Linked DNA regions of Drosophila melanogaster. The protein of the gene in region 3 purifies or fractionates together with the protein of the main gene of each other region. This does not show direct contact. Each region holds a gene or a part of one and is shown on either strand. Other genes may lie near its edges.

What was found. The genes of interacting proteins can lie anywhere in the genome.
Region 1: the proteins of Treh (region 3) and Patsas purify together in Drosophila melanogaster (affinity purification with mass spectrometry, with the first as the bait; one large-scale study listed by BioGRID). This does not show direct contact.
Region 2: the proteins of Treh (region 3) and Arc1 purify together in Drosophila melanogaster (affinity purification with mass spectrometry, with the first as the bait; one large-scale study listed by BioGRID). This does not show direct contact.

The regions. Positions count from the first base shown.
Region 1 is NT_033779.5:12,100,075-12,105,087, forward strand, and holds Patsas (patsas), read right to left. Parts: upstream 3,212-5,013; 5' UTR 3,071-3,211; coding exon of another isoform or gene 2,987-3,070; coding exon 1,421-2,986; intron 1,366-1,420; coding exon 1,174-1,365; coding exon of another isoform or gene 1,162-1,173; 3' UTR 691-1,161; downstream 1-690. Other genes in the region: Ced-12, read left to right, coding at 1-467; ThrRS (Threonyl-tRNA synthetase), read left to right, coding at 3,821-3,982, 4,418-4,478, 4,614-5,013.
Region 2 is NT_033778.4:14,357,237-14,361,827, reverse strand, and holds Arc1 (Activity-regulated cytoskeleton associated protein 1), read left to right. Parts: upstream 1-1,530; 5' UTR 1,531-1,627; coding exon 1,628-2,392; 3' UTR 2,393-3,901; downstream 3,902-4,591.
Region 3 is NT_033778.4:21,078,576-21,083,771, reverse strand, and holds the start of Treh (trehalase), read right to left. Parts: upstream 3,165-5,196; 5' UTR 2,901-3,164; intron 1-2,900. UniProt on the Drosophila melanogaster protein: Enzyme that cleaves trehalose to produce 2 glucose molecules that can be used by the glycolytic pathway.

The DNA of each region.
Region 1 (5,013 bases), on a different chromosome or scaffold from region 3:
GAACAAAGGACAAGTTCTGGTACGCTCGTCTTTCGCCGAATCACAAGGTGATTCATTACGGAGATTGCGACGAGAAGACAATACCCACCATGGAGGAGTTGCCCAAGAAACTGCCCATCAGTGAGATTAAGCAATTGCTAGAGGGCAAGGAATGCCCGCATATGAAGGAAACTCGCATTCGGAAATCGGCGGTAAACCTGGCCTTTTCCATCACCTTCGAAAACATGGAGCACTCTACGTTGGACTTTGTGGCACCCGACGAAAGCATATTCAACTACTGGACGGATGGAATAAACGCGCTGCTGGGTCAACCGATGGTCAGCAAGCAAAAGAACGAGGACTTCGACACTCTGCTGTCGATGGAGATCAAATTGCGCCTGCTGGACACGGAAGGTGTGGACATCAGCAAGGACCCACCGCCAATACCGGAGGATCCCGAAAACTATGATTTTTGCTTTGAGAGCTAAGCATAACGAGCACAATTACTTCACGAATTATTCGATTCATTCTAGACTCCCCCATCACCCAAGATACATGCCAAAGTGTACACACAACATAATCGTATTCTCCGATCTGATCTTCTACTAGTATTACTTGTGCAATTCCCCGAACACAAAATGAACAAACTGGTGACGGTCACGTCCAAGTGACTAACCGCTGCCTAGCCATTTAGTGAACTTTACACCATTTATGATTATAATAGGTATATAATATATAGAGATCATTAAATAACACATTTTATACATAACAATTTTGTACAAAAACTAACAAGAGAAGCGTATTCTTATCCAAGCCTAAAAGGTAATTAGTTAGTTAAAAAAAGCAAAAAGCACGGCTGGCCGATGCTTTGAACACCATTGCGGAAGGAATTGATTTGGAGCCGTTAACAATAATGGAATCTTAGCAATGTAATTTATTGATGCTCTGAATTGCACTTGGAATTTGCTATCGATTTGTCCTTCCGCAAGGATATGTTGATTGCAATTGTAAATGATAAAACACGCACTTGACGACCTTTGGTTCGAACTTTAAAGCATTCGAGTAAGCAGTAAGCCTGCGGAGCAAAACCAAACTGGCAGCCTACCCGAGTGGGTCTCTGGCTGCCTCCTCGCAACATTATCCACGCACGGGCAGCTTGCGCCGGCGAGCAGGGGCTCGATCCTAGATCCTTAATCAAATGTTATCCTCCAGCAGGAGATCGTTGTCATCGCCCCGGTCCGGCAGGCAGACAAAGAATTCGAGTAAATTCAGGATGGGACCACGCGAGAAGGGATTCTGATATCGTCCGCGTTTGTCCCGCAAGTAAGGATAACGCTTGTAGTTAAACATCTCGTTTGTGGTGAGATTCATGCAGGCGTGCAGGATCTGCCAGTGCAAATGATGTCAAAACGATTAATATTTTTGGAAAAGAAGCACTTACCGAAGTGCATGTGAGTATCCAACCCAAGCCGCAGAACACAACCGCCTCGATGAGTCCCAGCACATAGAGCATCGTGAAGCCCTCGATCATCACGCAATAGCAGGCAAAGTAGATGGTGAACGAGCAGTTGACGGCCACCGAGAGGACGAACAGGAAGAACCACATTCTGTTCCTCAGTCCCACGCAGTTGTAGATAAAGGGACAGTGGTGGTCAAAGTACGAGACACACCGGTTGCACACGCGGCAGTGTTTGGCTCGCAGCGGCCGGAGGCACCTGCAGCTGTGACATAGTCGGGTTAGCATCACATTTCGCTTCTTCAGTTTGTCGAAGTACGGAATCTGCTTGATGGCCCGGTAGTAGGCATCCGAACTGAGTGGTATATACCCCGGATCCCGGCGATTGGCAATGGCCCAGCTTATCCACATTACGGCGTTCCAGTATATAAAGCAATAGTGCGAGCGTCTCAATATGTTCCACGTAATGGGAATCGCACGGATCATGTACATGGGATAGCCCCAAAGTAGCACAGAGAAGAGAAATAGAAACAGCGGTCCCTTGGAGTCTCCAGCTCCGCCAAAGAGCCAGCCCCAACTTTCCGAGACTGAGGGAATCCAACGGGACTTCTTCTTCACCTCGCCGTACAGCAGGCGCACCACATCCTGGTGCTGATGAGCCTGTGCCAACATGATCGGCGTCTTTCCATTCTTGTCCCTCGGTTCCAGATCCAGCTGGGACTTCTCGCACAGCAGGCGAACGCACGTCATGTTACCAGACAGGCAAGCCAGATGCAGTGGAGTCGATCCAAAGTTGTCCGTCTTTTGAAGCTCAACGCCGGAATACATGAGGAGTCGCATAAGATCGGCATGTCCCTTGTACGCTGCCCAGTGGAGTGCCGTATCGCCGTTTATGTCAGTTAGGTTGTTCAGCGCTCCCATTCCAAGAAGATAGGCCGCCGTTGCAGTACGGCCGTACATGCAGGCGAGATGGAGGGGTGTAAGTCCCTTGAAGTCCGCCGCATTGACGGCAACTCCAGCCTGGAGGAGGACCTGCACCACGGACGCATGACCCTTCCTGCACGCCCAGTGAATGGGCCGTGGACCCTGCGTACCCAAACAGGGCAGATCGATCGGAGCCGTGCGTTCGATGAGGTATCGCATCAGCTGGACATTGCCGTTGAGAGCTATCCAGTGGGCTGGCGTGTAGCCATGACGATCCCTGGCCGACAGACACTCCATGCCGAACTTGTCCACGAGATTCTCCACCTCGCTGACCTCTCCGTTCTTGATAATATCGAAGATGTCGTCCAAACTCACGGTGGTGGCACCATCGAGCCCCTCAAAGAGGAGCACATTTTCGTGGTCCTCGACGCCGCTACTGCCGTGTCCACCGTCCGTGCCGCGACCCGTTAATGGCGGCGAATGCGGTCGATGATCCAAATGGATGTCGTCGGCGTGGGCATGGCCATCCTCCTCCGCGACGACCATGTTGCAGGAGGAGGAGGCGGTTAGGGGCAACGCCCACACACTGCGCGCCGCCCCCGGACTTGGATGCACCTTCGAGGCCATGTAGAACTCGAAGTCCACGCCCAGACGGTCCGCCGTTCCACCGTTGCCTTGATGCAGGGGGTTTTCCAGTAGGTGTGCAATCTTGTCGCCTTTTTCCGTTACGCTCCGACCGAAATTTGTACTCTGTTTGGCCAATCTTAGGCGTGGAATGCTAGGTAAACACGACTGCACTCGATGGCGAGGAAATTATGTCAGCACTGTGAGAAAATCAATATTTGTCCCGAATCGCAGGACTCGAATTGGGGCCACTTTCGAACTCGACTTGGCGCCAAACAAATCAACAGCTGACCGTTATTTTCGCAGTTGGGCGCGCAGTGTTGCCAACACATACTGGTAATTAAGACTTTTCTCAGCGAGGGGTGATTTAAGATTTAAGTCAAGAAGTATTAAAGAAAAAATATATATATTTAATTTGTTGGAAGGTCAATTGTTGAAACCGAGGTATCATTTAGCTTAACTTAAATATACTAGAAATCTCGTGGCATAAGCAAACTAAAAAAAAAAGGTTTATCAACTGACTTTTATATTAGTTTTAACATTATTGGGAAACATTTGTTTTCCGCCGCTAGAAACCTTTAAAATGTATACTACTATATTGCTTGGTACGAATGTTGCATTTTGAACTGATGCTAGCATTGCATTTTGTAAGGTTCCCATGTCTCTGTTATTTTGCCACCTGGTAACACTGTGCCCCTTTTTGATAAATTTGTTTCGTAAAAAATGGGCGACAACGTGGTGACGGAACTAAATAACTTGGATTTGAACAATCAAAAGGCATGTTAAACTCTTTTCGAACTGCATTCGAGTGTATGAGAAGTGCTAGTTAGCCGAATTATGTTGAAGTTGGCGCCGCAGGGCGGCAGATATTATAGCCAAATAAGCCGCATTTGCCAGTGGATTTTGCCGAAAATTCAGACGCAGTCGAAGCCACCAAAACAACAACAACAACAGCAACCACAATTGAAAGAACAACAACAACACAGCTACGCAACTTTGGTTGGTGTTTTAAGCTAAAAAGAATTGACCTAAACTTCAATTTAAACGCCTGTTACTGCTGGCACGTGTAAATGTTATGCTTGTCTGTGTGAGTGTATGCGATTCTCCAATGAATCAGTGCCGCCGGCTGTGACGTCACTAACAACCAACCAACTTCATGAGTGTCTGTTTTTTTTTGCTACTCTATTGCATCAGCCATAAAACGACGAAGATACGCTCAAAGACGGCTCGATAAAACAGAGATAGGAGCACCGAAAACATAGCACCGAAAAGTGCTCATTGCCATGTCCCCAATTGTTTAAACAATAAGAAAACATCAGTCGAAAGTAGATACCGAAAAAGAGCATTTGTCTAATTGCATACGTAGCACACTTGTGGCCACTTGAATATCTCCGGTTTATATTGATTTTTAACCTATTTCCGATGGATTTGCAGGCTGCCAAGATGAAGAAGGAGAAAAAGGAGAAGCCATCCGGCGGTGGAGATACTCGCAAGGGTAAGTAATTCTAACTAAGAATTAAAAACACAAAACGCACTTCCGTCTGTAAGATATGTAGCATATCTTTAAGATTAGCTGCCTTCTTCTCTCTAATACCTGAAATTCCACTGATCTCTGCTATATTGATTTCAGAACTCAGTCCCTTGCCCAAGTACATCGAGGAGCGCAATGTCTTCTGGGAGAAGTGCAAGGCGGAATACGAGGCCGAACTGGCGGCCAAGAAGCGTGAGCCCATCAAGGTGACACTGCCCGATGGCAAGCAGGTGGACGCCACCTCCTGGGAGACCACTCCGTACGAAGTGGCCCGCGGCATTAGTCAGGGTCTCGCTGACAACACCGTCATCTCCAAGGTGAACGGCGAGGTGTGGGATTTGGACCGTGTGCTCGAGGGAAACTGCACCCTGCAGCTTCTCAAGTTCGACGACCCTGAGGCGCAGGCCGTCTTCTGGCACAGCTCTGCCCACATCATGGGTGAGGCCATGGAGCGCATCTATGGTGGACACCTGTGCTACGGTCCGCCCATTGAAAACGG
Region 2 (4,591 bases), 6.7 Mb from region 3:
AACACTCTCTCTCTCTTCAACATTTTTGAATAATTGGAGAGCACAGTTTGTGGCGGTTCCTCCGCAAGGAGGCCACCACGTGGAAGGAAGCCATCGCTCTCATCCGCGAACACTTCTCGCCCACCAAGCCCGCCTACCAGATCTACATGGACTTCTTCCAAAACAAGCAGGACGACCATGACCCCATTGACACCTTCGTCATCCAGAAGCGAGCGCTGCTGGCCCAGCTGCCCAGCGGTCGCCACGACGAGGAAACGGAACTGGATCTTCTGTTCGGTCTGCTGAACATCAAGTACCGCAAGCACATCTCCCGCCACAGTGTCCATACCTTCAAGGATCTCCTGGAACAGGGCCGCATCATCGAGCACAACAACCAGGAGGACGAGGAACAGCTTGCCACAGCAAAGAACACCCGTGGCTCCAAGCGCACCACCCGCTGCACCTACTGCAGTTTCCGGGGGCACACCTTCGACAACTGCCGTAAGCGCCAGAAGGATCGGCAGGAGGAGCAGCACGAGGAGTAGGCGACAAAAAGAACATCAAATACCAACAGGCAGCAGCCAACGTCATTGATGACCTCATCGCTGCTGCCGCCCACCCAAACAGAACTTTTCGTAGCCTCGCCAGCCGATCGACGTCAGAGAGAGCCCAACAACCGGAGAGCTGGAGATGGGGAGCAGCCACATCAACAGCAGCAACAGCAGCCACATCTCTTCATACTCTTCATACTCACTGGCAATCGGCGTGCCGGTAAGCCTCGACTAGCTTCTGAAATCCACAAATCCACGCTGTTTGTATTGCTATTCGCAATGCCTCGAAAACGGCTCTATTTTCATATAATTTCACGCCGACTTGCGGCTACTTTGGCACAGAACGCCAGCTTTTGGAAAGCAATAATTTTTATTGCAACATTGAACCTTTATTTGCAACTAGAAACTAGATTTCGAGAATCATCGGGCGGGGCGGCTGAGGATCTGGCATTTCGTCCGTAAGATCGGTTATTCGCAATGGAGGAATATGATATTCGAACCAAATGGCGGGTGAAGTGCCTCGGCATGGAGCTCCATTTTCTTCGAATCTTATGTTTTGACATTGCGAGTCTGAAATGGATGTTGCCTGATCTCCAGCCGCCCCGCACAACCGTTGATTCTCACAACCGCCGGCTCCACTTTGTGCCGGTCAGCGGAGAAAAAGCGATTATTTGGCTATCAAAAGATATGATCACTGTGTTGAGAGACATGGCAATCATCGCTATTGTAACCATATATTTGCTGATTTTTCGTCTGATCCTGGTCCTTTGTGAAGCTAGCAAAAAACCCCCCGCCCGGTGAATGCCCACTTAGATCCTTTTGCAGGAGGATTTCGACGGCCCTGAAGGTGGGCGCCACCCGTTTCGTGATGATTCACTCTGAGCAATAATACCAAAAACATAGACCTTCCCTCTCTTATTGGCTCTCCCCAATGCCTCAAGCTTTTTCGAAGTTCGATTTCACAACAGGCGGATATAAAAGGGCTGCAATGTGGGAGAGCTGTTCAGTTCAAATCACCGGCCGCATTCGCTACACTGGCTTTGTCCGCCGACTGAACCAAGATTAATTTGATCACCTAACCTCACACAGCAGCGAAAATGGCCCAGCTTACACAGATGACCAACGAGCAGCTCCGCGAGCTGATCGAAGCTGTAAGAGCGGCCGCCGTGGGCGCCGCCGGAAGTGCAGCAGCAGCCGGAGGAGCAGACGCCAGCAGAGGCAAAGGCAACTTCTCCGCTTGCACACACAGCTTCGGCGGAACCCGCGACCACGACGTGGTCGAGGAGTTCATCGGCAACATCGAGACATACAAGGATGTAGAAGGTATCAGCGACGAGAACGCCCTGAAGGGCATCTCGCTGCTGTTCTACGGTATGGCCAGCACCTGGTGGCAAGGCGTCCGCAAGGAGGCCACCACGTGGAAGGAAGCCATCGCTCTCATCCGCGAACACTTCTCGCCCACCAAGCCCGCCTACCAGATCTACATGGAATTCTTCCAAAACAAGCAGGACGACCATGACCCCATTGACACCTTCGTCATCCAGAAGCGAGCGCTGCTGGCCCAGCTGCCCAGCGGTCGCCACGACGAGGAAACGGAACTGGATCTTCTGTTCGGTCTGCTGAACATCAAGTACCGCAAGCACATCTCCCGCCACAGTGTCCATACCTTCAAGGATCTCCTGGAACAGGGCCGCATCATCGAGCACAACAACCAGGAGGACGAGGAACAGCTTGCCACAGCAAAGAACACCCGTGGCTCCAAGCGCACCACCCGCTGCACCTACTGCAGTTTCCGGGGGCACACCTTCGACAACTGCCGTAAGCGCCAGAAGGATCGGCAGGAGGAGCAGCACGAGGAGTAGGCGACAAAAAGAACATCAAATACCAACAGGCAGCAGCCAACGTCATTGATGACCTCATCGCTGCTGCCGCCCACCCAAACAGAACTTTTCGTAGCCTCGCCAGCCGATCGACGTCAGAGAGAGCCCAACAACCGGAGAGCTGGAGATGGGGAGCAGCCACATCAACAGCAGCAACAGCAGCCACATCTCTTCATACTCTTCATACTCACTGGCAATCGGCGTGCCGGTAAGCCTCGACTAGCTTCTGAAATCCACAAATCCACGCTGTTTGTATTGCTATTCGCAATGCCTCGAAAACGGCTCTATTTTCATATAATTTCACGCCGACTTGCGGCTACTTTGGCACAGAACGCCAGCTTTTGGAAAGCAATAATTTTTATTGCAACATTGAACCTTTATTTGCAACTAGAAACTAGATTTCGAGAATCATCGGGCGGGGCGGCTGAGGATCTGGCATTTCGTCCGTAAGATCGGTTATTCGCAATGGAGGAATATGATATTCGAACCAAATGGCGGGTGAAGTGCCTCGGCATGGAGCTCCATTTTCTTCGAATCTTATGTTTTGACATTGCGAGTCTGAAATGGATGTTGCCTGATCTCCAGCCGCCCCGCACAACCGTTGATTCTCACAACCGCCGGCTCCACTTTGTGCCGGTCAGCGGAGAAAAAGCGATTATTTGGCTATCAAAAGATATGATCACTGTGTTGAGAGACATGGCAATCATCGCTATTGTAACCATATATTTGCTGATTTTTCGTCTGATCCTGGTCCTTTGTGAAGCTAGCAAAAAACCCCCCGCCCGGTGAATGCCCACTTAGATCCTTTTGCAGGAGGATTTCGACGGCCCTGAAGGTGGGCGCCACCCGTTTCCGGTAGCGGCTTCGGCTGCTTCCGGTTTCCGGTGTCGCAACCCTTCGCGATGTCCCCCGTGCGAGTGGAGCTACAGTGGGCGTGAGCCGGGCAAAACCTAAATTTCTTCGGAGATTTAAAAAACCAACAAATTTTTTGACTTTTGTCAAAACAATTCGAACCCACATAGCACTACGATGGCTAACGATTCGCCATCCGTGCGGTTGGCACGCCAAAACTGTCTCTTCGAGATCACGGGCCTAGGGCTGTTTAACATTCGACCCAAGCGATTTCGCGACAGGCTTCGGCACGCCAGTATATAACCCAAAACACACAAACGTCAGGGGCTGGAACGCGTCACTGCCGTGCTCCTCCAGCCGGCACAGTCATTCCCCGCCCCCACACCAAGCAAAACCGGCCGCTTGTGCAGATGACATAGGCGCGACCAGCCAACTGACCCGGCTGACCAGACTTGCACCGTGCGCCATCAACTGGAATCTTGGCCACAAGCACAGCAATAGTTTGGCCCGCTATTCCCACACAGAAACCCAGAGTGGGGGCCTATGGAAGACCACAAGTGGTTGCGTGGAACTGCTAAAAATATAAAACTGTAAAACTAAAGACTGAAACTAGAAAACAACCATTAAACTCAGAAACGGAAAACTGCGTAATTGTTTTTATTTTATGGGGTGGATGGGACAACATTTTTACAGGGAATCATTTTTTTAAACAAAAGTTGATATAATATAAGAAAAAATGCAATTAGCCAAGCTCTACAAAGCTCACGTATTTAATAAATGCTCCACCGAATGAAATGAATATTACAATATGCCATATAAAAATACAACATTAAATGATATTAAAACTGGTTTCTTTATTTCAATATAATTAAATGTCTCAGCCCTTCTAGACGTTATGTATAATAATTTCAAGTGGCTACAATCAGACTTAAAATCTAACTGGATTTACTTTCTACTAATAATATCCCAATCAGAAGTCAGATGTTGTGTGATTACATCTTGTTACATTTTTGATGATATTTAAATAAATTATGCTACATCATTAGTCATTGTGTCAAAGTAATTTTAATTTTATACAGTTGCAGTTTCGAGGTCGGACGGAACGGTCTGAAATTAACTAACAATATCTCGTGTATTTTGTGTGTGCTTTCGAAAAAAGTTTGTTTGAAAAATGTGTTAAGAAAGTGGCGCCGCCGAAATACCGATATCGCCAAGTATCCAATTATCGACGTGCCGTGGGTCCCGATTGTCTAACATAAATAAAGCCTGCTGATATCGAAGTACAACAGCCCGATAGGTGGAAGCAAATATCGATGACAGTCTTTATTT
Region 3 (5,196 bases):
TCATCTATAGTTACCATATAGATATTTGCCTGAGCAAGGTCCCACTGTACTTACTGATAAGAAGTAATTTTCGGGGATTTTAGGCCTAGTTTAAATGCTAATAGGTAATGCTCCACTTACGATGGCAAGTGTGGAAACTTTTTTTTGGAATTGGAAACTAACCAGTTATCCAGAAATTTAATGAGTATAGCCCGATATCTGAGCGATTTGCATTGCAGTGCGGTTTAATCGCGCTGTACCCGATTTGAGGTCACCGAAGAATGGTGACATTCGCCTGACATTTTATTTATATCCAAACTAATCAAGCTGATACATTTTCAAGTCTATAATTAGAGTGGGTTGTGTGTTAGTGACACGTGTGTCGTCTGGCCCCAAATTCTGGACCGGAATTGCGACGTTTTGCACGAATGCCACTCTGTGGACCGACATAACGAGTCTTCATTGAACTGATTCGCTGAATAAGGATTGCTTTCGAGAGATTAACGAATGTATGGATATACAGATACGTCATATTTGGAAATTTGAGTCGCAAAAAGGGGATTATGTGATGGGATTGGAAAACTTAAGCGCAGCTTGGAGAGCCATTATCGGAAGCCAGTAGAACTCAAACTCGAACGGCTAAGGCCACCATATTGCACACGAAATGTACAAATGTATTTTATGGAACATTAAGTGTATGATGAATTATCGCACTACGATGATATAACCCTATGGGGCATCAGAAAACAAAGGGAACTCAAATAGGCGAAACAATTGTGCAATTTAAATTGAGCCGCACGGTAATGAGAACCACAAAGAGAGAAGTTCATTGTTTCAATCTTTCTGTGACGACAGCAACTAGCAGGTGCAACTAAATCATTGATCTAATACATACGTCACAAGTGGTTAGTATTTATGATTCCATTAGCGAAGTCATATTCGGCATTTGCAAGTTGGGATCATAGACTTATAACACTTACTACACTTCCAGACACACTCCATTGAGTTTTTTGTAGATATTTACTTTCTTGTTCCGCTCGGCGTACTCAACCAATATTTGATTTATGGCTCTTTTCGAAAAACATTTCAGATAACCATGGATGACAAATAGCAGGCGCTACAGCTGGCCCTACGTGTCAGGCATTGGAAAACATTATTGTATTAACAACTTTTCGAATTTTGAATTCCCCCCTACGTGGACTTCCGATTCCGCATTACTCAAAAATCACACAATTCCGTCTTAAATTCCATATAAATCATAAAAATGCAGCCCGATCATGAAGCAACTATTGTTTAAACAACAATTTAAGGTGCGTGAACGAAATCATTAACTTTTCTGAATGCTTATTCGCACTCTCACCATTTAGTTGGGCTATTATGTTTGCCAGTGACTTTATGATTTGTTTATATAGATGTGTATTATAAAATTTCATTGTCGTCATCGATGGCAGTGATAAGTGCCTCGCATGACGTTTTTGTTTGAATACAATAGCCAAAAGTCAGTTAATTCAGATCTTTGAACTGGGCTTGAAAAACAAAACTTTGCCAAAATCATTCAAGGACGATTTTAATCGTTATGTGGGCCATTCAACGCGTTCGTATAATTGCCGATTAATTTAATCACTCAACTAGCCATTATAAAGCACGGTTTGTTGGCTTAGTCGAAAATTCTAACAAATGCCTGATGGGTTTGGAATGACATGTTGAAAAGTCCGCGAGGAAAACGAAGAAACACACAAGACACACAAAAACAGGTAATGTCATTAAGAATTAACTTGCATCAGGTTGAATTAACTTGTTTTAGATACTGTGCGTTTTTGCTTTGATTAGCCGTTCAAATGCCGATCGAAAGGCCTTCGAAAGGTTATTGAATCGTAAAAAGGTTTGCAGTTAGCTGCAAACGAAACGTTCATGCGTGAGGGAAATAATTAGTAATTAAGTTAAACAAATTAAATAAAATGATTTGCAATACAAGGATTCATATTGAGTGGCTTAAGTACTGCGTTTTAATCTTAATTAAATAAAGGGGAAAATTTGACCTAGTAACATTATGAACCACTGGAGCCTTAATCTTCAATCTTCAAGTGGACAATAAAGGTTTATCGATTGCTCATAAAACTGGAAAGCATTGAACTTAATCTCGAAGATAACTCAAATATTCGTTATCATGGGCATTGTTTATTGCATTGATATTGAAAATAGATCTTGAAGTAATCTTCTGATGGAATTTCACTTGAAATACAGCGGCATTCAAGGCTCTTCAGTTTTAAGAATCATTTCACCTCTATATAGTTAAGTGCACTTAACTTGTTTTTGGACAAGTTCAGGGATACTGATAAAAAAAAAAAACTGATTGCCTCGTTGAAGTCAGCAGCTTGAAGTGCACATATAGAAAGAACTTAGAAACTTTCTTAGAAAGAATATAATGAAATTGATATTGATATTGATAAGATTAAATAGGTTTAGCAACAGAAAGTGTACATCTTCCAGTCGGGCTGGATCAGCTACTTTCAGCTATTCACTCGATTCCTAATGAAATTCACAGTTCAAATTAGCTGCAATTCATATTGGAATAAAAAAAAAAGTGGTTTTTGGCAGTGCAAAAACGAGACTTGAAGCGTTGACACTAGACAGCAGTTTATATACTATTCGGTGTGGGATTTCTGTCCGCAAGTCCATTTAAATTCTAAATACCCAGGGACCACAGATCACTGACACCGCAAGTCGCTGATCTGTGGTAAAAATAACGAGAATTCACGTTTTCAACGCGATAAAAAAAGCTCAGGGAAAATATCAGCAGATATGAGGGAAAACGACAGCAACCACAGCAATTTGTATTGAAAATTATAATTTAATTGCTTTTGTATATTCAGCTCGCGTTGTATTTTTCAGTCGAGAGTTACAAACCAAATTACAATTACTTGTAAAGGTACTTTTTCAGTTTCAAATTAATTTGTAGTTTGTTTTCGCATTTCACTCACTTTTATTATTGGCAATTTGCTGAGCTGACTACGAGTTTTTATAACTCGCTCACTATCTGTATTGTTTTGTGCACCAGATTACTATATGTATATAGATGTGAACGCGGACTATATACACTCTCGTTCCTAATCAAAAGCGCTGCTTTATCGCCATAAAGCCCCTGCGATGTTGATCGTTTGAAGGCAACGATCCGACTGCCTCGATCCAAGTGCCGGAGATTTAAATTTAAATAAGATTTTCGCAAAGATCCGCCCGGAACAGAGTTACCAAGTGTTCCCTTTGGGGGAAAGAAGCTGAAGCACAGCTGAAAATTGGCTAAAATCGTGTTTTCTGTTTGCCTTTTTAGTTGAGAACGCAAATAAATAAGATTTATTGATGCGTAAACTCTGTCACATTTGCATTGATTGATTGAGAAAATTATTGGGCAGTAGAGAGAATTATACAATTGGCGAAGCACTAGGGTCTCATTATATTCCAATATGGAAAATTTTGTTCATTTTGCCGTGGTGAAAAGGAAACCGTAAATACTTTAGCCTGATTTTCTAAAGCCTCGCTCTTCTGAAATCTCGAAAATAGGGCGATAAGATAGAATCACCCTGAAATGAATTGACGTGGTATTTAAGACCCTCACTAACTTATGATTGTTGCCAAAAACGATTATAAATAATTTTTGATTTGGAAGAAAGATTATTCATTATTGAGATAGGCAGGAAATTGGCTCTAAAGCAAATAAATACTATGTTATCTAAAACTAGTTTTGTTTAGAAAATTTATTCATATTTAAGGAATTGTAAATTAAAACATTTACAATGAAAGAATTTGTAGTAGTGTAGTCATTACTAATTTATTTTTTTACATACATCACAGCGTATTTTATAATGAATTCAAGTTCGTATGAGTTGGATTGGACTCAATTGCAAAAGAAGATATGTTCTCGTAATTAGAACTTGACGTTGGTTACTACTTGAATGAACGCATTATTATTAAAAGTATGAAGTGAGTATATTTCCCATTTCCGGTCAAATGAGTCCACTTATTCAAAACGTCGTATTATGGAAATGACGTATTATTTAAAATCAATGCAAAGGAATGAGTGTAATATCGAAATTGTTCTTGAAAAGTCTGACTTTTGTGCAGTGTGAGTAGTTTCTGGGGATGAGACAGCATCAGGTGATTCAGAAGGCTCGCCGTCTATCGCTCTATCTGGCTAAAACGAACGTGCCATAGCAGGACGGGCCCTTTATCAGTGTCAGACTATCTCGCCTCACCTGAGCCTTCGGTGACTGATGCACCTCCTAATCGCATACTGATTTAGTTTCTGCGAAGCCCAATGGAGCGCCCGGGAGTGGGAAAATCTGAATAGACACTTGGTGATATGCATGACAAGCTGAGTGTGTACTAAGTTCAGAAATAATGAAATCGTTCAACAGGGGGAGGATCTGTCTCAATTGATGCGATGTCAGTTGGTCTGTTGTTGTCTGGGCTGATAAGAAAAGTGACTGATAATGGATTAATTTGCGATCTAGCTGGGCTAGAGAGCTATAAACGTGACTGCCGTTTCTGCTCAACAGCTGGTTCCAATCTGATCTTAACGAGCTAATCCGTTTCACATTACGTATACGACATGGACACACCGCCAAGCAACGACCAATCGCAAATCAGCTCTGAAACAGAGAAGTGAATCTAACTGAGTTCGTGACAAACAATAAACGGTAACAAATGTCAGTTACATTTGCTTCGCTTATGACTGGTCAGGAGAACGCAAACTGTTAATATTAATAGCTTTTACATTTAAATAATCTAAATCGTTGTGGTTTTTTACGAACATAAATATAAATAATTTCTAGAACTGATTATTATTTATAGGAGTCTCTATAATAGACAAGCCATCACACTGAGTCTGAACTAATTGCAAATGAGTGCAAGTAAATCAGGGCTTAGTTTTTTCCTATTTAACTGGAATTTATTTGTCAAAACAACAAAAATGATTACAGTAACTTAAGTGGATGGGTAGTGACATTTAATAGATAATAAATTATAATACATTTTTCAGTAACTTGCAAGTCCATATAACAAATTGAGATATTTTTTTGTAAATCGATGTTTAGCATAAGATCATATAAAAAGAACAGCTAAGTAATAAATTTAAAAACATTCATTTCAAGTTTTCTCTTCTATATTTGATCTGTTACCAGTAATATTTGCTAACTATACACACATTCTACATAAAAAATC